Linked DNA regions of Yarrowia lipolytica. The protein of the gene in region 1 interacts with the protein of each later gene in a pairwise test. Links are inferred from orthologs where the notes say so. Each region holds a gene or a part of one and is shown in the gene's direction. Other genes may lie near its edges.

Evidence for each region.
Region 2: the proteins of YALI1_E16919g (region 1) and YALI1_A03487g interact in a two-hybrid assay, tested with the Saccharomyces cerevisiae proteins (2 studies listed by BioGRID). The link is inferred for Yarrowia lipolytica from reciprocal best matches to the Saccharomyces cerevisiae genes SNX4 and SNC1.

The regions. Positions count from the first base shown.
Region 1 is NC_090774.1:1,684,910-1,697,856, forward strand, and holds YALI1_E16919g (uncharacterized protein), read left to right. Parts: upstream 1-6,983; coding exon 6,984-8,294; downstream 8,295-12,947. Other genes in the region: YALI1_E16854g (uncharacterized protein), read left to right, coding at 547-1,683; YALI1_E16900g (uncharacterized protein), read right to left, coding at 1,735-5,139; YALI1_E16950g (uncharacterized protein), read right to left, coding at 8,902-10,074; YALI1_E16956g (uncharacterized protein), read right to left, coding at 10,271-10,759; YALI1_E16968g (uncharacterized protein), read left to right, coding at 11,893-12,411; YALI1_E16974g (uncharacterized protein), read left to right, coding at 12,516-12,947. UniProt on the Saccharomyces cerevisiae protein: Sorting nexin, involved in the separation or division of vacuoles throughout the entire life cycle of the cells.
Region 2 is NC_090770.1:342,622-354,796, reverse strand, and holds YALI1_A03487g (uncharacterized protein), read left to right. Parts: upstream 1-6,021; coding exon 6,022-6,369; downstream 6,370-12,175. Other genes in the region: YALI1_A03549g (uncharacterized protein), read left to right, coding at 1-549; YALI1_A03512g (uncharacterized protein), read right to left, coding at 1,961-3,595; YALI1_A03507g (uncharacterized protein), read right to left, coding at 3,810-3,992, 4,037-4,093; YALI1_A03450g (uncharacterized protein), read right to left, coding at 8,207-9,712; YALI1_A03442g (uncharacterized protein), read right to left, coding at 10,040-10,585. UniProt on the Saccharomyces cerevisiae protein: SNC1 and SNC2 are vesicle-targeting proteins essential for normal secretory traffic between the Golgi and the plasma membrane. They may also be involved in vesicle fusion.

The DNA.
Region 1 (12,947 bases):
CCGCCCAACCCTGGATAACATATAAACCCCTATTCCATGTATTTCTAATACACCTTTCTTGAGAGTGACGGCAGTGACCATACCTTGGGTTATGGCCACCCCGGCTGAGTCATCCAGTCGGCTTAGTCACGGGGGCCTGGGTTTTTAACAAAGAAAAAATCGGGGATTTAGCCTCAGTTGGGGAGAGCGCCAGACTGAAAGTCATTCTTCGGTCAGAGTAATCTGGGGTCCTGTGTTCGATCCCACAGAATTCGCAATTTTTTTGGAGATGTTTCAGACAACACACACATTCTCGTTTTTGTCAGTCCGACTGTAAATTCAAGCGGTTGCGGGCTTTTGATAGTACTCCAATTTGTTTTTCAACTTCCTCTGTGTCTCCACACTTCTAGTCTCTACTCCCCTCCTAATCTCAATACAACCCTACTACTTGTACTTGTAGGTGGATACGGTTTGTCAGATGGTGGATAAAGTGCAAACGGCATCAACTCTACCATCTATTACATTCCATATAAGAGATCTGTAAGCGTGGTTGTAGTTGTGGAGATAATGTTCTTTTCGTTCCCTGCTCTTCTGGCTCTTCTGGCTCTCTCAGCTCTTTCAGTAGCTGCACCCTCCAACCCCAAGGTGGTGTCTATGGATGTCTCTAAAAAGACATACCTAGGGTCGGTCAAGGGAAGACCTGGGGTCTATATTTCCACATACATCGGTGTGGGCACTCCTCCTCAGTCATTCGAAGTCAGCTTTGATACAGGATCTTCTGATCTATGGATACCAGCCGTGGGTGATGACCAAACTGGAGGTCCAGGGCTCTTCAACCCCCAGGCTTCCTCCACGTTCAAATCTTTAGGAACCAGTTTCAACGCGGCATACGTCGGAGGAACAGCCCAGGGATACTGGGTGACCGATAATGTCAACGCAGCAGGCCTGTCTCTGTCCAATCTGCAACTTGGAGCTGTTTCTAACATGCAAGACCAGAAGCAAGGAATCTTGGGTGTGTCTTTCAAGCAAGTAGAAATGTCGGTACGAAATGGACAACCCCAGTACTACAACTTTCCGTTTTCCGCCAAAGAACAGGGCTTTATTGACCATGTGCTCTACTCTCTCCATTTTGACGGTCCCCATTCTCCTGACGGAACCTTTCTACTGGGAGGTATTGACCACGCCAAATACTCTGGAGATCTCCATTACTACAACGTCGCCAACCCCAGTGCAGGTCCCCAGATTAATTTCAAGAGCCTCGTACTTGGCGGACACGAACTCGACTTCAATCTGCCGGTCACACTGGACTCAGGGTCGCTAGCTATTGCCTTTCCAGACACCCAGTTCAGAGCTATAGGAAGCGGGCTTAACCTGACCAACTACAACAAAGATATGGGTCTGTATTATATCGACTGTCAAGCGGAGATCTCCGTGGACTTCAAATTCGACGGACTCACAATCTCAGCCAACTCTTCGTCTTTGGTACTGCCCATGGGATTCTTCTCAGGGGACACCACAGACCCTTCATGTGTACTGGGAGTGCAAAACTCTGCCCTTTATGAATCTCCGAATGATGCTGTTCTCGGAGAACCTTTCCTTAAGAACGCCTACGTCGTCTACGATTTGGAGGACTACAGCATTGGACTAGCTCCTGCTGTCTACACCGACAAGTCTGATGTTCAAGCTGTCTCCCGCACATTGTAAACAGTTTACAACCTCTTTCTTACGTCAATTAAAACAATGCAATTAACACTCCTAACTGTAACTAATATCGAACATCTCCTCGTCAATAACACCAAACAGATCCTGCATCAGCTTGGCTAGAATCTCCAGCTCGGAGGTGATGGTCACACAGACCAGAATGTAGATGTACAGGAGCGCAAAGTCGTTATCTGTGATTTCCGAACCAGCTGCCATGACGTTGTTTTGCTCATACTCTTCAGGTTGACTGCCTCGATAGATATTCAGTTTGACCATCATACGGTCTCGAGAATGCTTGGTGGAGGGCAAATTGTCTGGGAAGGGGAAACCAAGCTTCATGGCAGAGGCCAGCATGTAGAACCGCAGGAAAATTCGATGACTGAGCTCAGTACGTTCAGCCAGCGTGCTTTTGAGCAGAACAGCTTCATGAGGAGTCGTGGTGGGGTCCTTTTCAATGACCAGTCGCAGGTTCTGGAACGCATCAAGGATCTTCTGTGTTGATTTGAGAATGTTGTCGTACGTGTTCTTAGGGAAACGGCCCTTGAGACGAAACTCGTTGGGGGCATGTTTGAGCAGACCGTCCAGCTGGATCAATGTGTTCTGCAACTGGGGCTGCTCAGCAAGCCCAACCAACCTATACCCTCCAGTAGCAGGATCAAATTGGGACGCCAGCGGGTCTTTCCACGTAAGACCCATTCGCAACCAGAGTGAACACAGACCATGCTTGAGATTGACTCGGGCCTTGTTGGGGAGCAATAGAACAGTAACCAGGAACGCCCACATAACTCCAGCACACACAGAAACGAACCGATGGAAAGCAATAGTACCTACCAGAGGCCTTAGACCTCCTTCATCGTCGTCATTGTCGTTGTCTCCAAGGTACAACGAGTACGAATACACAGCTGTAATGTTAAAGGTGAGCAGAACGAATCGGCCAAACGCATTGTTATCCTTCCACGTAACAATGATGCGGAAACAAGGATAAGAAATGGCAGCTCCAATCAATGCCAACATGTATTCGTTCTCTGGGAACAAAACCCAAGACACATAGGCACACATAGCACCCAAAAACGTACCGATAATTCGTTTCCAGGCAGTCCAAGTAGTGCCTCCTACTGACTTGGACATGATGACCACGTAGGAAATCAACCCCCACTCGCCCCTCCATGTATAGAAAATTGGCTGAAGACTGGGCATATAAGCGGGGGTAGCAAACATAGCTGCTCCAATACCTACCCTAATTCCAAATTGGACATCTCGTCTTCTAAAAACACGCAGGCGTTTCCACAGACGGAACGACATAGACGGTTTTTCGAGCTCTCCGTGCTTTGCCTTCTTAGTCAGAGCACTATTGAGATCATCATGCATTCGCCCAGCAAACCCCTCCTCCAGAAGATCAGATTGTCGAGTCATGAACGCCATGGTCTTACGTCCACTGATGATCTTGTTGACTGCACTCCTCTGGGAAGTTTCTGCCTCCTCTGCTGCCGTCGGTTCTCTATGCTTGCCTCCCCACAGCCATCGGTAGCTTCTCTCGTCGTTTTCACGGATGGTGAGGTATCCCTCTATGCTTCCCAGCAACTTTTGCACCTCAGAAGCCATTTCTTCAAGCAGCAGCGAGAAGTTACCACACGAAGCCGCCACCTGCTCCCAATCAGTGATGAACTCGTCATTGTGCCTTCGCTTAAACAGCCCCAAGCCGTAGACTTCAGCCAGAGCCTTCTTTCTGGCTTCACAGAATAGCTCCTCAGCAAGACCAAGTGATCTCTGGTACTGAGCAACATCCGCCTCGGCATCGCATTTGTCGAGCTCCGAACCGTGCAAGATCCGCTTCATGGTCAGAGAAAAAGACTTCATGGGTGGACCCAAGTGGTATAAGAAGACATCAAACAGATTTTCAGGCGTGATTGTAGGCTCATTGGGTTTTGTAGATGCAAAATTCGGGGAAGGAAGAGAACTTCCAGGGGTAGAAAGAGTTCTCTTCAATGAGTGTCGTTTTCTGATGGGGCTGTCCTTAAACAGCTGGGACAGCTTCTTTCGCGTCAATGTAGAATGCTCCGTTTCAACACCTGAAGTAAGAGCGTTAAGATGCTGATGAATACTGTTCATGTGATGAACGAGCTTCTCCAGCTGGTGGTATTCATCTTCTCGGCCTGTCAAGTACAGTTCCAGCTTCGCATGACGAATGTTTCTGAAACAACTCAGCTGGGCACGCAGCTTGGCCTTGAGCTCAATGTACTCGACGCTGTCCACGTCGACAGCCCGCATAAACTGCCTGGTAAGATACAGAAGCATGTCTCCATATATGTCCATGGTGTTTGAAATGGATTGCTTGAGTTCTGTGACTGCAGAAGTTCTCCAGAGCGTTACACAAACCAGAGCAGACACAGTACAACCAGTAATGGCGAGCAAGAAGATCTGGTTCAGCTGTTCCAAAGAAATTCTGCCCTGCTGCACGTTTCCCTCCTTCGTCAGCACACTAACAAGGCACACACACGCCAGTGAAGTGGCAGTGTTGAAAGTCGGCAAGTCCATTTTCTGCTTAACAAAGGCCAGAGTGCCCAGTCCCACGGCGCAGAAGATGACTAGGTCGATAATGTACGCCAATAGGCGCATATGCAAGTCGACCAGAAATGCCGACACTAACATACTCAGAGAACAGACACAAAAGGAGTACAGCAGGGCGATAGATGCAAAAATAAGAGCCTCAACCATACTTCCCATGGTTCTTCCTGGGTGGAAATAAATAACTGAAGTGGCAACCATATGTTTGGAGTCACCGTTACCCAATAGTCTTGAGAGACGGTCGTTGTAGACGAACACGGTTCCTAGAAGGTATCCCACTGAACATTTTAAGACGACCTTTGCTTCTGGATCGATCCATGCTCCAGTGGCGTAATATTTCAGTTTCCCAAACACTCCTGTGGGCTTTGGTTTGTGTCTGTGGCACATTGTGGGGCTGTCAACTGTCGATACAGCGTAGTTGAAGGACCGTTCGGGGTCCGGTTCTGGCGAGTTTGGAGAAGAACTGCTGTTGGGTTCTCCAAATTCGGTGATACTGTTGTAATTTTGGTACGTTGTCTGGAAATTGTTTGCGTTTGCGTTTGCGTTTGCGTTTGCGTCTGCTAATGCCTCCAGTTCTTCAGGCGTTATCTTGATTGTCTGTGGCACCAGTCGCCCTTCCTCGTTGCTGAAAGTCACTTGTCGTCGTACTCGCTGTCCTGTGTTTGGCAGGATCATGGAGGCTTTTCGGAATAGGGGCAGCGTGATGCCGGCCCTCGTGGCCCATCCCACGGGAGACACAGCCAGACTGGAGGCTGCTGTGCTGCCCAAAAGTCGCTGAGATGGAGATGAGGGCATGGATGTTTGCTGCGACGAGTCCTCACCAGTCTCGCTGTACCACGAGTTTCCTCGAATGGCCAGCGGCCTGACGTTAGCCTTGGGGTCGGGCTGGTTCATTATCGGTTCATAGGGATGTGGCCGACGAGCTGAAAAGGGTTGGAGCGTTGGAGAGCGGTGCTTGAACAGTCAGGGACAATATCCGGATGAAAGTTTGGAACAATAACATGGTCGTGCATCACCCATGCAATTCCTCCGCGAAAGGTGAAGGGACCCAGATGGCTCCTAGACCCGAGGGGGGGCAACATCTATTGCGGTCACGTGACAAAAATATATCAACTGTGGATGGCTGATGGAGTTTCTATGTACTCAATATATGGCTTCAAGCCACCATCTATCACGTTCTGCTGCCCATCTCTGTCAGCCGTGTGTGTTATGTTATTATTTCGCCGGAAGCCAAAACATGAGCCAAAATAAAAAGGAATAAGGGCATATAATTTACACACAAGGCGGACGGGGAAGACTGTGCGTGACAATGCGATCCCGTACAACTACTTGTAGTTCGAAAACTCCGTCAACATGTGATCCGATTGCGACAAGCTAGTCAAATGTCCCTTTCACAAGCACTAAACACTTGAATATACTCAATCGACCCTTGAATATACTCAATCGACCCTTGAATATACTCAGTCAACACTTGAATATCCTCATACTGAGTATCGATCCACACTTGAATATACTCAACCAACCCCTGAATCTACAACTGCAGGTGTCTACAGCATGCATCGTCTGAGGTCATTTTGTACAGTATGTGCGTGTACGAATGCCGGTGCAAGAATCGGAACGAGTAGGACAATTGGAAGCACGAAGACGTGGCTTTTGATTGGCCATTCTGGTGGTTTACAGTCTCGGTTCAAGTACTTTCCTTGGGGTATGTACAGTAGCTATTCGTAGAGCCGTTGTGAAGGATGCCAGAAGTGGTTTAGTAACTACTACTGTAGTTATGAACGAGCACTCGTACCAGAAAGGAAAGACAAGACTTTGAAGTGAGCACCAGGAATAATCTCCAGCAGAATAGTTCATCATTTTTTACAAGTAGCCACAATGCTAGTACAGGTACATCACCCGCCTGTCGTATCAGGACAGATGGTACTTCCTGCAACTCCCAATTCCGACCTCGGAGTTCTCCAGGAAACAGATTATGAGCTACTAGACGACATTGGAAGGTTCCTGGGTATGTAACAAACACAATTGGTTTGCTTGAGGACACACAACAAGCATTCTTCATCAGGTGGACCCTTCTGACTCATCTCTACTCAGCCTTTAGACGCTATTGAGATGTACAAGTACAGTATGTACATATGCTAGTTAAGGAGCAGTTCATACACGTATCTGTTGCCCAATCTGGATAAATATTGGACCAATCGAATGGTCTCAACTCATTAGAATCCAGCCATATCTCTGTCTCTTCCATATTGACCTCATGTCTCGTTTTTTTTCCTTCTTTTTTCCTTCTTTTTTGGGGGTTAATTTAGGCTAAATACCGTCTGTAGTGTACTTATACTTATTCTATAAATGGAGATAGACGAGACGCGAATAGAGTCTTTCTGGAAAACCCATTAAGTGATTCCAAGCAAAAAATCCAACAAAACCCGCCGTACCCCTCTCGACATACTATCGTACGCCCGTACGCTCTCCACTGGTGCACTTGCTGCCAACCACTATCAACGTCACGTTACTGAACTCTATCTGGGCTGTGGCAACCCCAGAAACCTACAGTCCACCTTCGCTGTGCCTGTTGCAATAGGGAGCCAAACACTTGACGACCTGATAACGACGGTCGACGGAGCGGCACAGACACAGAACAAGACGACAAGTCACAAAGAGCCCCACTCCAACAACAGCAACAACTACAACTACAACCACACCCCATCAAACCCCATCACACACTCTCACTGCATACGATGGAATGGCAAGATGAAGCGGGGCCTTCGAGTGGTCCTTCTAACGGCATAGCGTCATCGTCCAACGGACCCTCGTCGCACTCAGACACAGACCTGTATCGAAGCGACTACCATGCGCTCGAAAATGACAAGACTTATATCGACTCTGTGGTGAGCGATCCGGCCAAAGACCTGGATGGAACCCAGAACGCCCACATCACATACCTCGTGACGACCAAGTCCAACAACACGCAGTTCTCGAACAAGGAGTTCCGAGTCCGACGCCGGTTTTCGGACTTTGTCTTCCTTTACAACTGCCTGAACAACGAGTTCCAGGCCTGTGTGGTGCCCCCTCTCCCGGACAAGCAGCGTCTCGAGTACATTCGAGGGGACCGGTTTTCGACAGAGTTCACAGTCAAGCGAGCAGCATCTCTGACACGGTTTCTCTCACGCATAGCACATCACCCCCTGCTCAAACGGTCCAAATATTACCACGCCTTTCTGGAGTCTGGCGAATGGAACGCATACAAGAAAAACAACATTGCACGAGGAGGACTGATTGTGGACGGAGGAATTTTGGACGGACTGTCCGACACGCTGGTCAGTGCATTCACTCGACCCCCACAGACGGCCCAGGAGTTCCAGGAGGTCAAGGAACGAATCGACCGCCTGGACGTGTGTGTGTCGCACATTGAAAAGGTACTGGCTCGGTCTGTGCGTCGACAGTCAGATCTGGTCATGGACTACCAGGACCTGTCGCAGCACGTGGGCCAGCTGGAGCATCTGATTCCTTCATTGGAACAAGAGTTTTCCAAGTTTGCTGGAGGCCTGCAGGCGCTGGCCATCAACACAGCCGTGCTCAAGGAGAAACTTGATACCGACTACGTGTCTTCTCTCAAGGATCTCATGCACTATCTTGTGTCGGTCAGAGCTTTGCTCAAACAACGAGACCAGAAGCAGGCAGACTACGAGGGCCTGGTGGAGTACAATGAGCGAGCTGTGGCCGAAAGACAGGCGCTGGTGTCTGGTGGAGGGAACGGTATTCTGCGAAACAAGCTGGAGGACATTCGGGGTATCAACCATGAGTTTTCACGACGGGAACGGCTGCAGAAGCTCGAGGGCCGGATCGAGAGTCTCACGGGCGAGACGAATCTGGCCAAGACCACGTCCGAGGCCTTTGACGAGCAGACCAAGCGCGAGATTAACACTTTCGACAAGATTCGATCCGGCGAGATGAAGGAGACTCTCAAGACTCTGACCTCTGGACAGGTGGATTTCTATGCGGCTTTGGTCAAGGATTGGGAGGCTATTTACGATGCTCTTGGAGAGTGACGGTATTCAAGTGCTTACCTAACGATAATAATGATAATGATAATTCGAAGCCATTGTGCACTGGTTTATTTTGATGATGATGAATAACTCCGATAACCTATCAATTGACGCCACCCAAAGTTGTGCAACTCCACTACTCGTATTTGTATATATTCAAACAAGTCTGTACAAGAAGATTGATAAAGGAAGTTTTAATAAGGTTTCATATCAATTGAACCTCATCATTATGGACCCTTCAAAGCAGTGAGATGGAAAGGTCAATTTTTCATGCGTTTTTGTGTGCTCTTAGAGGATGGCAAGAAGAGTTGATTTTTCGATTTCCAGCTTCGCAGCTGCACTATTGAGTTGTATTTGTCTGAGGTATTATATAGTATGTACACGGAATATACAGTAGATTGATAACATTCACACGATATATGCACTGTCTAGTGAAGCGAGTGAAGCAAGTGTACAGGAACACCTGTCATAGATCATACTGTTCCTTTTGATCTCTTCATTACGGGTGCTCTCCTAATGTCCTTATCGCCAAATACATCTATGCTAATTACTGTACGTACTGCGACACTCTATATAACCTCCTTCCTCATTTCCTCATTTCCACCTATGCTTATGCCTGAAGAGGCAAAGGAGCGTAGAGAACCTGGGTCACGTACTTACGAGAGTACCGGGAGACCGAGGCCACGGCCAGAACGTTATGTTTAATGGACGTGGTGGCCAGATGGTTGAGAATGACGTGATTGGGGATGGGCAGCACCGAGTTGTCTTCCTTTTCGGTGGAGTTTGTGTTGAGAATGACCGAGTCCAGATGGGGAGGCAGTTGGGGAGGCGTGGGCAACTCTTTGGAGATGTACTGCTCCATCACTTCTGTGTCGGTGAACAGAGCCGGGATTTCCGGTGTGAACTCGTACTCCTCCTTGGGCAGATCTTCTTCAGTGAACCGCTCGTAGCCTCCTCCCAGATCGTCGTTACTGGGGATGATGCCTGCTCGAGAAATGGGATGCAGATCCTTCTGGTCGGCCCGTTCCTCGGTGTCCGATAGACCCACCTCCACGTAGTTGAGAAGATTACCCATGGAGTCTGTGGCTGTGGGGAGGTAGTCTGAGCATCGCAGCTCATTGTCAACGACAAATCGCAGTCTGTGGGTTCCAGGAGGAAGATGAAGGGTGGTAGAGAAGACGCCCTTCTTGTTGGGGTCCGGGGTCAGAGCCACCATCTTTCTCCAACCAGTGAAGGTTCCAGTAACGTAGACCTTGGAGCCTCCCTGAGTCCATTTGATTTCGAGGGGGATCTTTCCTTCGGTCACCTGAGGGGAGGTGAGTTCGATCTCTTCGCCGGAGTCCACCCGTGACAGCGGCTTGGGCTCGTTGGATGTGGGATGGGTGATGTTGAGTTTGTCGAAGGGGATATCGTCGTCGTTCTCTCCCACGGGTTCGTCTTCATCCAGCAGCAAAGTTGACTTTCGTCGCATCTTGGGCCGCTGGGGGTGGCTCTTTGCGGGCGCCACGGGGACGGGGACGCTTTCCGGAGCAGGCGACTCTTTGTGGTACGAGGCGGGCTCAAATGGGTTGTTGAAGGGTGTTGCGCTGACATGCGACGAGTTGGCGGACATTTGCTCTGGCGAATGGCTCACATGGTTCTGTGTGTTGTCGGAGCCCTCCTGGGGGATGGGCTGCGGATCGGCGGAGCCCTTGGGGTCGTGATGGCCGTTGTTGTCCGCTGGACGGTGCTGCCGAGCAGCTCCATTGTTGTTGGCCTCCTCCTGGCTCTGTGCGTTTCCCATGGTTGCTTGGGTGGCGGGGTTGGGGGGTGATTCGGGTATTGGTGTTGCGGGGGGCCTGTGGCGGGGCGTCGTTACGGGATCCAGCAGTGGTGTTGCTCGAAGAGTACGCTTGGAGAGAGAGAGGACTAGACAGCGTTTCGCACCCGTAGATATTTTGGATTTGCCCAAAAGTTTAATCTACACGTAACGGCAACGGTCAGATAACGAACATGGTGCGTCCTTCAACAAGTGGACGGCGGGGCAAGCGACGGGCCAGAGCCGCCATTCTTTTTGCGTTCCCCGGCGCATGTTTTTTGCGGTGGTTATAGGGCTGGTTACGGGCGCCGTTTGCGCTGCCGACCGGGTCCGGGATCCGGTGTCTACATCCGCGCCAGCCATTCACACATGTCAAAAATAAACAGTGTGTGTCAGGACGCAGTGGGGCACACGCTGGAAAATAAAGGTGAGCTGCAACAGTCAGGCTAGGAATAATTATTTGAGCGATTTTCGAGTGGTTTTCTCGCCTATCGGCCCCAACGCAGGGCCTTCCCCACCCGGGCGGTGGGTGGTCACGTCCACAGGTCCACCGGGCTGCTCTAGCGGGTATACTTTTGCGTTCCACGTGACCTTCCGTTGCCTTGCTGCACACATGCGGCGTTTTTCCGAGGCCTAGCAAGGAGAAGATTGAGCGGTTTAGTCGGGACATTGGAAGTTAGTTGGAGTTAGTTGGCGCTCTTGGTTGAAAGTATCAAAAGTGGCCAGATGATGCAGAAAACAACAGACAAAACAACAGAAAAAAACAACAGAAACCCCGGACTGGGTGGTGTATTATGTATTAACAGAGCATGCGTTCCTCAATGGGCATTCGTACCAGTTTCAGGTTTCATATGGGTTCAAGCAACAATGTTTTGAGCCTGAAAAGCATAACCGCTCTCTGCCGTCCCGCTCAACATCCGCTCTCGAACAGACACCAATTTAGGAGGACGGAAGAAGAAATTTGAAAGGATCAAAGTGTCAGGAATTGACGAGTTTTCATTGATGCTCCCGAACCGATTGGAGGACGGAATGACCACGGTTGACCCAACTTCCGAGCAAATCTGAACATTCATACAAGCGCCAATCTAGAGAGAGACCCACACAACATTCATGTCTCATATGGACTCGGCCAACAAGCAACGTTAGCAACTCCACCCCATAACATCGTCCGCGAGGATGGAGTAAACGACACACGTCATTCATGTGCTTGTCAGACGTATGTTTGAGAAAAATGTTGGGTTGGAATGGAATGAGACTTTGGTCACGTGACGTTATCAATCGGCGGGTAGGGTAGGTTTGCAACTCCTGGGCTGATTGTTTTTGGGTGGTGTGAACTTGTAGTAGTATGTACTATAGTAAGTCGGGATGCTTCAGGCTGTCTACCTTGTAACCAACACCACTGCACTCGAACTCGCACTCGCACTCCGATGTGAGCTATTTACACTTGCGACGTAGACGACGGACGCCCAAGACGATCGCGGTGCCTGAAACAGCTGAAATGAGCGATTGGCAACTCTGAGGAGGGCTCTTTAGACTCTGGGGCTCGGCCGTGTGCCATGGAGTCTAACCGCAAGAGTGAGGCAGCATGTTGAGAGAAAGACAAGCAGACGAAGACATGTAGAGTGTACCACTTGTAGGGACTCGAGCCGAGATGCAGCGCTTTAGGGTGCTTTATCGACACGAAAAGCGCGACAGGTGAAACAGAAGGTGTCGGCCATCTTGCAGTAGCCCGATGAAGAGACTCTCACTTAGGCACCCCCTATCCGCCTCGATGCAAGATAACCGGACGCAAATGTTGATTTCATGCACACCTGGTATGGTGACGCCTGCGTTAAACCCAAGGGTAAGGCTGTTAGGAGTCGTGCAAAGGCGTCGGTTCTGGCTCCGTTGACGAGGCAGTCTGTCTCTGCAGCTCTATCACACATATATATGTGCATGGAGCGTCTATATCATGTAGTAGTAGCGGCACTGGGTGCATTTATATCAGGTCGCCTTGCGGATGTTCTTTTTTGGCTTGGCTACCTTTTTTTAAAACAATTATTTAATTTTTACTTTTTTGAATTTTTTTTTTTTCTTTTTCATTGTGCTTGTCCCAACCGACACTTTTTTACATTTACCCTACCCGCATCTCAGCAACACTCCAGCGACACTCTACTGCTATACAAGTGCGTGTGCGAGAGCGTTAAAGAGGGCAAAAGAGAGTTGAGAGAGCTTCTGCAGCACCCAAAAACCATTGCAGCAACACAAAGCTTTGCGAGCGTCTTCATCACCACTACCCCCACCTCTCGATACGACAGCTTGCAACCTCCCCCAAGGCGGTAGTGTCTCTGTTCGCCACACAGCCAAAGTCACATCGACACAAAGACCCCTGCAGCTGCTTCAGTAGCACATTTTCGAAACTACTTCCCACCACACTTACCAACATCATGTCCAACACTCTGGTCAAAAAGGGCCAGGGCCAGGCGGCATCCAACGCCAAAAAAATCGGCTACAACAAAAAGAAGGGCGGCGGCCAGACCAAGGGCCGGCCTGCGTTTGTGTTCAAGCTGTGGAACATGGTCAACGACCCTGCCTACGACGAGTACATCCGGTGGATGCCTGACGGCAAGTCGTTCCAGATCACGGGCCGAGAGCAGCTGGAGAAAATTGTGCTGCCGCGGTTCTTCAAACATAACAACTTCTCGTCGTTTGTGCGGCAGCTCAACATGTACGGGTGGCACAAGGTCCAGGACGTGACCAGTGGCAGCATGCAATCCAACGACGAGGTGTGGCAGTTCAAGAGCCCCAACTTCATCCGCGGCCGCGAAGACCTGCTCGACAACATTGTGCGAAACAAGGGAACCAAGGGCAGCGACGAG
Region 2 (12,175 bases), on another chromosome or scaffold:
AGGCTGATGGTGCCCCACGAGTCTGAAAAACGGCTCGGAAAAGGGTTCAGAAACGCCCCCGCGTTCATCAGATACTGCAGCGATGGACGGGTTTATTCTAACGCACACGTCGAGCACCTGGAGCTCAACATTGTCCCCAGGCCGAAACCCCTCTGTCGATGTCGCAACTGTCTCAGTGAGTTCAAATACAGCAACAATGTCAGTCACAAGAGCTCGCATGAAAGGTCTCCTCTTCTGAACGAAGACTCAGGTATCATTTCGTTTAACTCGCCCTCTTCCGAGCTCGAATGTCCCGTTTTGCGAAATCCACCGACCCCCGTCAAGCTGGAAGGGATCAGCGACTACTCAAACATCACCAGTGTTACGCTCATGTCCAACGGCAGGGTCGAAATCGCCGTCAAGAAGGGCATATTCGAGGCTCGTGGAAGATGGCTGTATCTTCGAGCCGGCAAAACCAATTACTGCCAGGACGGGAGAGTGTGTGCAGTGGACAGGAGCCACCGGGAGTTTCACGTCATTCGCAACCGGGAGGAATGGAGACATTTTTGATCTTCCGGGTGTTGCAACCACCGACCGAACTTCAGCCTGCGGCGACAATGCAACCGTATTGATCTAAGCCGCATGGACTGTTGGTTATCTCCCTGTCACCTGAGTAGAAGCTGCGGAAGCGACAGAAACACGTTAAGCCAGCATTTGACACTGTGAAACTGTTGTTGGCAGAAGGTGACTGTTGGCCGACAGCATAGCCGAGCGACAGGCCAACGAGATGAAGCAGTTTGACCAAGTCCAGTTCAGTTCAATTTTTTTCAGGTCATTACCATTGTCTAATTCGTTGGACATCTAATGATATGATATACAACAATGTAACTGGGTCGTGGAACCTAGGATCTCCAATTTGAAAATGTACTGTACTTGTATATCTGTCGACATTTTCGGTAATTGAAAGAGGACATGCCATGAGAGAGCGATTATCAGAGCAGATTAACCATAGCTGAAGTACAACAGACTTCAGTTGAACCGTACTCTCGTGCTCTTGCTTGTACTCAGCTCAGTGATAGCACAGTTTGTAGTATGAGTGCCATAAATGGTGACTATTGAGCTTGAATTGGGATCTCGACAAAAGGAGTAGAGACCCGCCCTTCACCTTTTTGTTCTTAGAATATGCAGACCCAATTGCAGAAATAGTGGAGAGCTGTGCTGCACCAGTAGTATGAGTAGGAGACCCATGGTTGTGAACTAGGTGGTGAAACCAGGTGGTGAATCAAAGCCTCACAGGGGGTTGACAACCGTGTGATAGGTGATCGTAACTGTTAGATTCTGAGAGAGTCCTATTACGGCTTTTGAAACGCTTTACTCTTATGATCGGTCATCTGGTTGTAATGATGAGAGGATGAGTTGGACAGCTTCGAAAGATAGCCTGAAGAAACAAGGAGCAGTCATACAACTCGGGCGGAATGGTGGAATATGGTGAAATACGTGCATTGATTCGGTTTTTTGAAGAAAAAAATCACAAATCACAGTGTCTTCCCCTTCACAATCCCAGTTCGTCATTTCCACAGTTCGCTTGACCAAAGAAAACGCCATGACGAACTGGGTATGTTCTCCATGAAGGCATTGCAATATCTGAGATAGTTTTCAATTAGATCTCGTAGTCATTCTATTTGTAACGTCGGTTTTTGGTCGGTTTTTCATTTCATTTATTTTATTTCATTCTAGTTTTAACCTGGATTCTTTTTTTCATTCTAAATTCGTTTGATTGTGTAATCACAACATAGATATTAACAATTCAGAGCGATTTTTACGTCACAAATTGGCATCCTGGCCGAGCGGTTAAGGCGAGAGATTAGAAATCTCTTGGGGTTTCCCCGCGTAGGTTCGAATCCTGCGGATGTCGCCATTTTTTGCTTCTATTTTTTGCTTCTAGTTTCCATCTTTTGTTTTATGTCGTCTAAAATCTATATCACTCTAACGTGGTCTGACTCGTGGAATGACTCGTCGAGTAGTCGTTTACCACCCTCTTCTTTTCGCCCTCGGACTCATCCACCAGCTCAATCGACTCGCACGACGACTCGCCCACTCCATCGACCACATCGACGGTGGTTTTGGGACCCGTGTACCATCTGTGAGCAAACAGAAAGTAGTATGTCAGACAGCCTCCCCAGACGCCGGCCAGAATGACGCATGTGTAGTTCATGGACAGCTTGTCTGGGTGGGCTGTGGTGCCGGGGAACTGCAGCAGGATGATTGCAAAGAACAGATAGGTGGACGCGAAGGTTCCAATAGCAATGGAGAGTCGTTTGCCTAGATAGAACGGGCCCGGAGTCAGCTTGTTTTGTCCAAACACCAGCTTCAGAGTCAGTGGGATGAACCACGCCAGATAGTTGCCTCCAGCCGACAGGGAGAAGATGGCGGCGGCAGCAGTAGCATCGATCATACAGATGGAGCCCAGAGCCAGAGCCAAAAGGGCGTTTCCCCAGACGCATCTAATGGGATTTGAGTATTTGGTGTTGACCACCTTGAGGAATGTGGAGAAGGGCAGAGCTCCATCTCTCGAAAAGGCCCAGGACTGTCGCGACGCTCCAATCACGTTCGAAAGGCCCATGGTCCACTGTAGACAGAAAAAAATGCACATAATTCCAATCGTCCAGTTTTTTCCCAAACAGTCGTAAACCAGCTGGGCCATCGGCTGTTGAAACTTGGTGTTCAAGAGCGGGGCAATATCATGGGGCATGACGGCTGCAAACACAATGTTGAGACAGAAGCCCAGGACCCAGCAGGCACCGATTGACGAGATGATTCCGAACGGAACAGCTCTGGTGGCGTCTGCGGCCTCCTCGGCCATGTGCACGCACGAATCGAACGCTCCAATCGTCCAGATGGGTGACAGCCATGTCAGAAAAAACACCCAGCCGTCGGGCCAGCCGTCGGTCAGGTTGTCAATGTGGGAGAACATGTACTCTCCAGTGTTCAGTCTGTTTCTGGCGCCGATTGGCAGAGCAATCATGACCACCAGAATCACGGCAAAGTTAATGAAAATGCACATGGTCTGGAACTTGGCCATATGGTGTGTTCCCAGAGAGCCCACGCACCCGTGAGACACCACACAGGCGGCAAAGATGCCATAGACGGTGTATTTGGACGGGTTCCAGCGTCCATCTGTTGCCACAATGATCACACTGGTGAAGATCTGTGCAAATCCATAGTCAATGGACATGACTCCTCCAGTCAGGCCCAGGGTGTTGGAGTAGCCAACCAGAAACGACAACGGGCGCTTCAGCTTGTCGGGCGCAAAATAAAAGGTCCACCAGTACAGACCGCCCGAAGTAGGTAGTGCCGATCCCAGCTCGGACATGGTGAGCCCCACACTCATGACGCAAAACGCACACACAAACCAACCCCACACCATTCCGTAGGGCCCTGCTGGGAGTGTGTAGGAGAGAGTTGTGGCGATGGAGGGAAGCAAGCCCATGATGGAGAAGGCGATTCCAAACATTTGCAGCTTGGAAAAGTTGCGCTTCAGTTCGGGCTTGTATCCAATGTCGGCCAGGACCTGGTTGTCCAGGGTGTCGGGGGGTTTAGCCTCTGGGTCGTTCATGGTGGGTTTGGAGCAGCGGAAAAGGAGATGGTGAGGGGAGCGATGGCGATAAGGACAGGAGGGAAAAGCGACGACACTATGCCGACGACTGGTGAGTGATTTACTCGTCGAAATTTCCGATTCCACTTATATACAGTCGCTCAAACACTAACACTAAAGGCCCATGTTAGCTTTGGGGGGGGGGGGGGGGGCATGGTCGGGGCGTGTAGTGGGTTCAAAAAGGGCAGGAAGGGAGTGGGCGTTGGAGGGTATTGTGGTCGAGAAAACCTCGTCTGAGGGGCATTGCCAAGCCTGCCAAGACTCGAACAAGCAAACTTAGCCGCTTATCGCGCGTTATCGGGTCTTGGCCCGGGCTGGGACACACGTCTGGTGGTTGCGTGGTTGCGTGCGTCGCTATCTAGATAAGACAGGCTTCTGTTTCAAACTGTTTTTCAGAAAGACAAGTTTGGACGGCGCGAAGCTTGATTGGATTCGCCAATGGTAGCGGGGGGAGGTCATGGCGACTTGACGACCGTTGAGACTGAATCCGGGCGATATTATAGGCAGTTGAAATCGTAAAAAGTTGCAACAAACGCCCACCGGTCGAAGTCGCACCGATTCCGCGACTTTTGCGTCGTGTAGACGATGCGAGATGGCACGGCAGAAAGCACGGGAGCCGCAGTCAAGCCACACGTGTCGAATACATACATATATGAACGAGCGGACGAACCCGACATTCCTGATTGGATTAGGTTGGACAGAAAGAGAGACCGGCAAGTGAAATGAAATGAGATGGAACGGAATGGAGAAAGCTACCAGTACGAATAGTTATTCCGGGATTTGCCAGACATGGCGTATTAGTGTTGGTTGGGGAGACGTAATCGGTATGGGAGAGAAGTATGGGAGAAAAGTAATCGAGTTTTCTCGGCTCTTCGACGAGTCCGGCCAAAAAACAGTAAATACAAGCACTGATGTTGTCATATCATCTCTGTGGTAGCAAGATCCTTGTCCTTATTCTCCATATTCGCAACCTCTTGCATCACCAACAGTAATGTACAATACTGACAGTTAGTCCTCCTTCATTCACCAGACACCAACTTTCTTGTGCACTGATGACGTCACGAGAGCCAGAACCAAAGAATGGGAAAAAGAGAGAGATGAGTGGATCTGGGGAGGCGATTTGGTCCCTAAGACCTCATGACCTCTACGGAATTGAGATGATCTGCGGACGAGCAAGTTCCAACGTTCATTTTAGGGATGTTCTGGGCACTGAGAGATATGTTCCAGGCGTCCTTTGCAACGATTTTTTGGGCCTGGACATTTACCGGAGCATTTCCTCTTTTATAATCTCCTCAGGTCAGACAATGGTGTCAAATACTCTCCGCGGAGTAGTGTTATGCTGGAAAGAGTGACTCTAGATAGTGATACTCGCCAAGAGGGACAATAATGTAGTGTACTTGTACTAATAGTACCTTTTTCTGATGTAAACATTAGATGTTGCAACTCCTCAAAATCTCCTGGATCCCTCTAGTCTGGCTCTGTTGTTGTTACGTATTCCACTACAATTTGTTATAATTATAGTTGGTAATTACTTAAGATTGACTCCGTGAGCCGGTTGTCCGTCTTCGGAGACACCCAAGAGAATATGAGTATATCAGGAGATCGAAAAAGGTAACATTCCCGTCAAAATACATATCGTGGACATTTTTACAGTCATAAAATGCTCAGAGTGAGTCGAATTGGGTGAATAATTGTCATTTATGTGCCAAGACGGTTCTTTGAAGTTTTCAGATATGAGCACGAGAAGACGGTGCCTGCAATTGTACAACAGAAAAACACAGAATATTTTCACCATAGAATCATGGGCTTCTCAAAAAGCCCCGATCAGTGGATCAATTCCGCCACCTGGTTGTCATTATATTACACACCAGTACACATACGTACTGTACTGTACATACTGTACGTACCCAGTAACTCCCCAACAATTAAGTAAATAACCAGCTAAAGGTTTCCTTTTTCCAACAATAACGCCTTTCTCTACTTACCTTACTGCACTGTGCTGTTTTGTTCTCACCAATTTTTTTATTTTTCCAGATTTTAGTTCTATGAATTTTTTTATATTTTCTTTTTTTTATTTTTATTTTTTATTTTTCTTCCAAAACTCTACCCAGCCACGCGTGGCGCACTCAGACGGACCCTGTTGTCCAATTGACGGGCCAAAAACAAGCGGATTTTCTGTAAACAAAAACGAACGAAAAAAGGGCCCAAAATAGCTCGCTCCCCAACTCGTATCAACGCGCTCCGCTCGGTCTAAAAATACCTCCGGGCCAAAATAACCAAACACATGGGTCAAGGTTCTCACCATCTACCCTAACCGCGACCCCACCAACCATGTGTTTGAACCGCACCACCAGGTATACGATTTGCCGCTAGCTACACCAACAACAATGTCGTCCTCCATGCCGTACGACCCGTACGCCGGCGAGAGCCATGCGCAGACGCACCATACGGGCAACCACAAAACGGCCGCCATCCAGGCGCAAATCGACGATACCGTGGGCATCATGCGAGAGAACATCAACAAGGTGGCGGAGAGAGGAGAACGACTGGACTCGCTGCAAGATAAGACAGACAACCTGGCGGTGTCGGCCCAGGGCTTCCGACGAGGCGCCAACCGGGTGCGAAAGGCCATGTGGCTCAAGGACTTCAAGATGAAGGTCTGTCTGGTCATTGGAGTCATCATTCTGATTGTGGTGATTGTGGTTCCGATCGCGGTCCACTTTTCCGGACGATAGATAGACGTGGCGACACGACATGGGAGAGACGCACCTTTAGAGCAGACGTCCGCGCGTCGGGACTTATTAACGACTATATGAGAATAAATGCTAACTGTGTATGATAGATGGCATTTTCGTAGATCAGCTGGAACCGTCAATTGCTACAGTGCAAGGGCTAACAAGCGTTAGTCAGGGTTAACACTCGGTCGACTAACACTCGGTCGACTAACATTCGGTCTACTAGCACCCAGTCAAACAAACGCTCATTCGACCAACGCTCAACTAACACTCGGACGATCAGGGCGAGCGGTAGGTTCTACACAACAAGTACCACGGCATGATTGCATCAGGTGTCGTTCAATAGAATATCCAGACTGCCGAGAGGCTTCAGTAATGGATTCATTGAGATCGCGACTCCAGAGACAGATGTGCAGTGGAAGCACTGAGCTGCGGGTCAACACTCAACTCCATCGATCGATACGTGTGAGACAGAGTCGGATAGAAGACCGTAGCCGGGTTCAGATAAGTTGCTCTTGAGTTTATCACTATCGGCATTGTCGTAAGTAGATTGATCGCTTGAGAGCAAGTAGAACATCATTCTACTTAACTGTCGCCGAGGAATCTACTTTCCGTGCACCGACGAGATTTCCACCTTCTGTAGGAGTCACTTCCAAGCCAGTTTTTTCTCAAATACACCTTTCTGAATGCAATACTAGTACAGTACCGTAAGAATCGCTATCACCAGTTCGAACCCAAGATACAGTCCACATGTACAGATCTGCAGTTTGTGACGTCTGACTGCATATATCAAGTACTGATGGCATGTGGCTGAGCGATACGAGCTTGTGCGTAAAAGCACCTTAACAGCGATTTCAAAACCAGGCAGCGATGGTGGAGTGGTTATGATACTGACCCCCACAGACCCCCGTCTTTTATCTTATCAATCAGAAACCTTAATATATATAATTTTTCAAAAAAATATCAAGTGAATTTATATCAAATATGTCAGTGACTCGCAAATGGATTGGCGACTTACTACTGATCGGAGAGACCTTGTTCCCGTTTGTGGTGATAAATCCACAAGAGCAGGGGGATTTTTTCTGGCCAGATGATGACCTGATGTTGACCTGATGTGGGCTCAGTCCTACTCCTCCAAAGAGTCCTGTGGTGTTGTGAAGTCGGAACAAGCCCTATCCAGTCATGTGCAACCTATCCAGTCAAGTGGAGGTCGTTAATCTATGTACAAGTTTCCCTTGTGACTTACTGGGAAGACGTCCGATAACCACTCTGCAGTCTCTGAGACCACTTGTGGGATGACACTTTGTCCTGAACACTGCATCAAGTTGACCATCGTAAAGTCTTCGAACTTGTCTGGTGCTCGGAAGGACGCTCGATCTTACTTTTCTCTCCTTATCCGTGTTCAACAGGGTGGGTTTATCAGCGCGGTCAGGATTCACCCGGCATACAGACCTCAGAGACTTCGTGGTAGTCTGGCACACAGAGCCACAGGGACTTTGTTATCGTCCTGAACAGATATTGACTCCTTGTCAGGATGCTCGTCTTCATCATTAACGGCACTTCTTGGTGTATTCAGGCTCCTTATAGTCATTATCGGGATTGAGCTTCATTCGCTCCTTGGGAGACAGGTTCTCGTAGTCTTCATTTTGGTCAAACGTGCAACAGGCCAGTCTGTTCAGCGGGTGTCCAATATCTAGGTGGTGTTGGCTCGGAGATAGAGATAGTGATACACTCACCATTCTTCAGCTTCTGACAGTATACTGGTCTACTTGTTTCGTCAAGTTTCACGGCTCATTCCTCGCACAACAATCACATCAATTACAACTAATCTCATCACCTACAGCAAATACACGAAGGCCCCGTGACTCGTCTTCAGCTTAAGCACCACCACCAGGGCGGCGGTGAATACAACGCCGGCAATCATAAACGCCATATTGACCCAGGCGGCTTTCACAAACAGAGGAGCGGCGGTGGCGACCCATGTTCGCAGAACAATGACTCCATACCAGTTAGTGATGAAGGTGAAAACGGCAAAGCTCATGAGTCTTCTGTTTCTTCCTTGGACGTTGCTCCCCAGCCAGCAGGCGAGAGTAGGCATGGCAGCGACCATGTTGGGGATAATGAACCACGCTCCTCCATATTTGATCCAAAAGTTCTTGTGGCTGGGCGTGCACAGAACGAGAGCCCATCCAATGATAGCAAACAGGTAGTTCGCCAGCAGGAACGGGTAGTTGGTCTTGTACTTAGTGGAGAACCAGTTTTGAACTAGACAGTAGAAGCAACTCCACACCAGAATGGGCCAAACGATGCATTGACCTAGAGCTGGTGAGTATTTGAGCACGTGCAGAGTCACGGTCATGAGCTCTCCATAGCACGAAAAGATACCATTGTAAGTAAAGAGACCCATGGCACCGGTGAGCCAGACAATGGGGTCTTTGAGAGCCATTCCAAGGCCCTGAATGACTGTCTCGATGGGCTCGATCGGGTTTCCTCCAGCATAGTGTTTTTCGGTGATTTTCTTGAACAGCTGGTATCCGTCTTCACCATGTTTTCTGATCCATCTGGGGTGGTAGAAGTAGTCTGGCAGCAATCTCCACACCAGAGGAGCCTGAAGACAGCCACAGATTCCGGTGATGAAAAACATCCACGCCCAACCGGGCTTTCCGTCTGTAATCAGACCAAGTGCAATGGCGATGAGGGCAAACAGCGGTACCATGAACCAAGATACTGCCCAGGAGCAGGCAATGACAAACTGTCCCTCGAATCTTCCATGAGACTCGTATGTAACCTGAAGAATTACAGGTAGCGCAACACTCATGACGGCCCCCATAATCACTCTGTCCGCTGTAAGACCTCCGTAATTGACACAGATGCCCAACAGTGTGCAACAGAGACCCCAGATGAACATTTGGACTCCAGCAAACACGCGCGGGTTCGATTTAGCAAACAGCAAAGCCATAGGAATTACAAAGACAGCGTAGGTGAAGTATAGTGCTGCCTGCGACCATTCATATTCAGAGGGGGTGAGTTTCAGAAAAGGCTCAATTCCTCCCGTGACAGTCACTCCAATCACGTCCCTTGAAACAATATGAGAAGCAAGAAAAACTTGGAATTGGCAACCAACGGCTATACTTCTGTGTAATTTCAGATGGCCCTCTTTCTTCTTTGAAATGGAGACGTCTGACACTTGTCCAGAAGTGACGCTGTGTTGGACATAAAGATCGTCTGTCTTGGTCTCTTCCAGATGCTCAACTGACGGCTTGTCATCTTCCAGGTGTTCAATGGAGTGTTTGGTGTCCTCGAGATGTTCAATTGAGGTCTTTGGGAAGGTTGATTCGTTCATTTTTACTGCTCTACACACACCCCCAACATGGCTATATAGGAAACCAGTACAAGGCGAGTACAAGGAGCTCAGCAAACTCAGAAGACTCAGCAGAAGTCCACATTAAGTTGGATTGTGGGGAATGATATGGTACTGTGGGGTAGGAGGGGTGTCGGTGAGGTTTTATTGGGATATAAGTTGATTGTTGGACAATCTTTGCTTACTCTAGACGTAAACTCGCAGAACCACGCAATTGTGACCTCAATACAGCGAACCAACGGGACAGGACTGTTCGAAACTGTCTCCACAATCAAAAGGACCCACCCAATGCTAATTGTATCCTTGCTACTACATAGTTACAGTTGCAAATAAACAATCTAGCCGCGTCAGGTGTGTACGGCGGTGGGAGGTGTACCTACGAATGCCTACAGGTTGAATTAGAACTTGTGTCAACGTAACTTCGGCCGAAACCTGTCGGACAATGGGAATTACATCCAGATAACCAGTCTTGGCATTTGCTCCCCTCACTCTGTTGTCGGGGTCTGCATTTTCCGGACTTCCGTCTGCAGTGCCCCCCACCTTCTTTGTCTCACGAGAGGTTCTCCTGTACCACCCAAGAAGCGTTACAGTAGGAGAAAGGAAGGGGGAAACCCGTTCAGATCGGCTTTGATAAGGGATCTGTATGATCACTTGTCTAGTTTTTCTTCCTCTTTTGCTCTCAATACCTCTTTTATCGACTATTCCCCTCGCCTTAACGAGAACCCTGTCGGCGACTAACTTCAATCCTACCCCACACATCTGCAACAGATGGAACATACAGATGGGGGTTTTGAACATTAATCGACTTTGAACTGGCCATCTGTTGTTGAATGAAGAGGGGACGGTGAGGTGCATGGTCGGTTGCTTATGGTATTCGTACTTGGAAACTACAAGTTCTTGACCTTCCGAGCGTTGCGCCGTTCGCCATTAGTGCAACAGATGCCATTCTACTGCCCGTTCAAAGCTCGATAAAAGCTTTCGAATCCCACCATCCGGTCGACTAAATAGGTTCCACTGCCCCGTATTGCTCCCAGAATCTGCCCTTAGATCGACTATAACTGACTGCTAAACCTACAAGTAGAGCCCCACAGGAGAGTCCGTCCAACATCTCATGTCCTGCCAGACAGGGTGTTGAAACAGACAAGTACAGTATGTACACGTGATTTAAGGGACTGGATAAATTGTTGCAAGGCGTAAAAGCAAGGTGGAGGGGATGACAGATAAAAAAATAAAAAAAAAAAAACAATTAGGACTGATTTTCGAGGGCATCTAAAAAAGGGGCCGAGCAGGGATTTGAACCCTGGACCTCTCACACCCAAAGCGAGAATCATAGCTACTAGACCACACGGCCGAAAATCTTAAAATCACGTGAAAAAATACGGTCAAGAGACTAAAAAAGTGATTTTGAATTTTTCTTTGATTTTGACGCCCTTATCGACATTGTACAAAGTAAATAACATCGGATATTTATTCTCAAAGACCAAAAGTATCCCCTAGTAGCTTTTTACTCGAGTAGAACCGATATTAAGTTAATAATTTTGGTGTCGAAGTTGCATCTTTACGTTGAATTTTGGTATGGTAATAACATGCTGTAATGCATCATTAGAATAATAAAAAAAGTGGTTATTGTCATGATATTGAGTCAAATGAATAAAAATTGTTCTATTGAATGAACTTGCAGAGCCAGTGGCAAAAAAACTACATTTAAATCGGATCCATGGTGCAATTGGAGGTGTCTGTAAGTGGTCTTGTACGAACTGTGAACTGTACTTGCTACATACTGCACTAGTATGTACTGCAAACCGGAGTGATATTGTGAAACCAGAGCAATGACGGAGTGAAACAATTGAATCTGGTCCCCCAATTGGGCATTCTATGTCCGTGTTTTCAGGTTAAAACGTCTGGGATCATGTTCGTAGTCCTCCGAGTCCAAGCTCAGAACCATGATCTGATTAGAATCAGAGCTAAGAGGAACGTAACACTTTAGATGGTTAGTCTCTGAGACAGATGAACTGGGAGGTACTGTACTGAATGGATAGAGACTTGTTCGCGTTCAGTGCGAGTACAGTGTACGAAGGTCTGGCTAGAGACTGTGAAGAACAGCACGGGTCATACTGTAGTGAAGCATCGTAAAGGTGCTCCAGCCGTGAAAGACTTCGATATAGGGTGGAATACTTTGACAGAGTGGAATACTTCAATATAGGGGGAATATCAGTGATGTGAGACATCCCATTATACATGTTCCCGTGTCACTCGTGATAGAGTTCAAGTAAAATGTCAAGCATACTCCCAAGTAAACTGTTCCTAACAATGGATTATCAAGGTCGGGGTTTCACCTCCGTGTCCAATTGGGACCCCATCTATCCATCGGCGTCTCCAGCATATGTCACCAATTACCTTCACCGCTGTAATTGACTACTCCGGCTACAATTACTCGTACTTGCA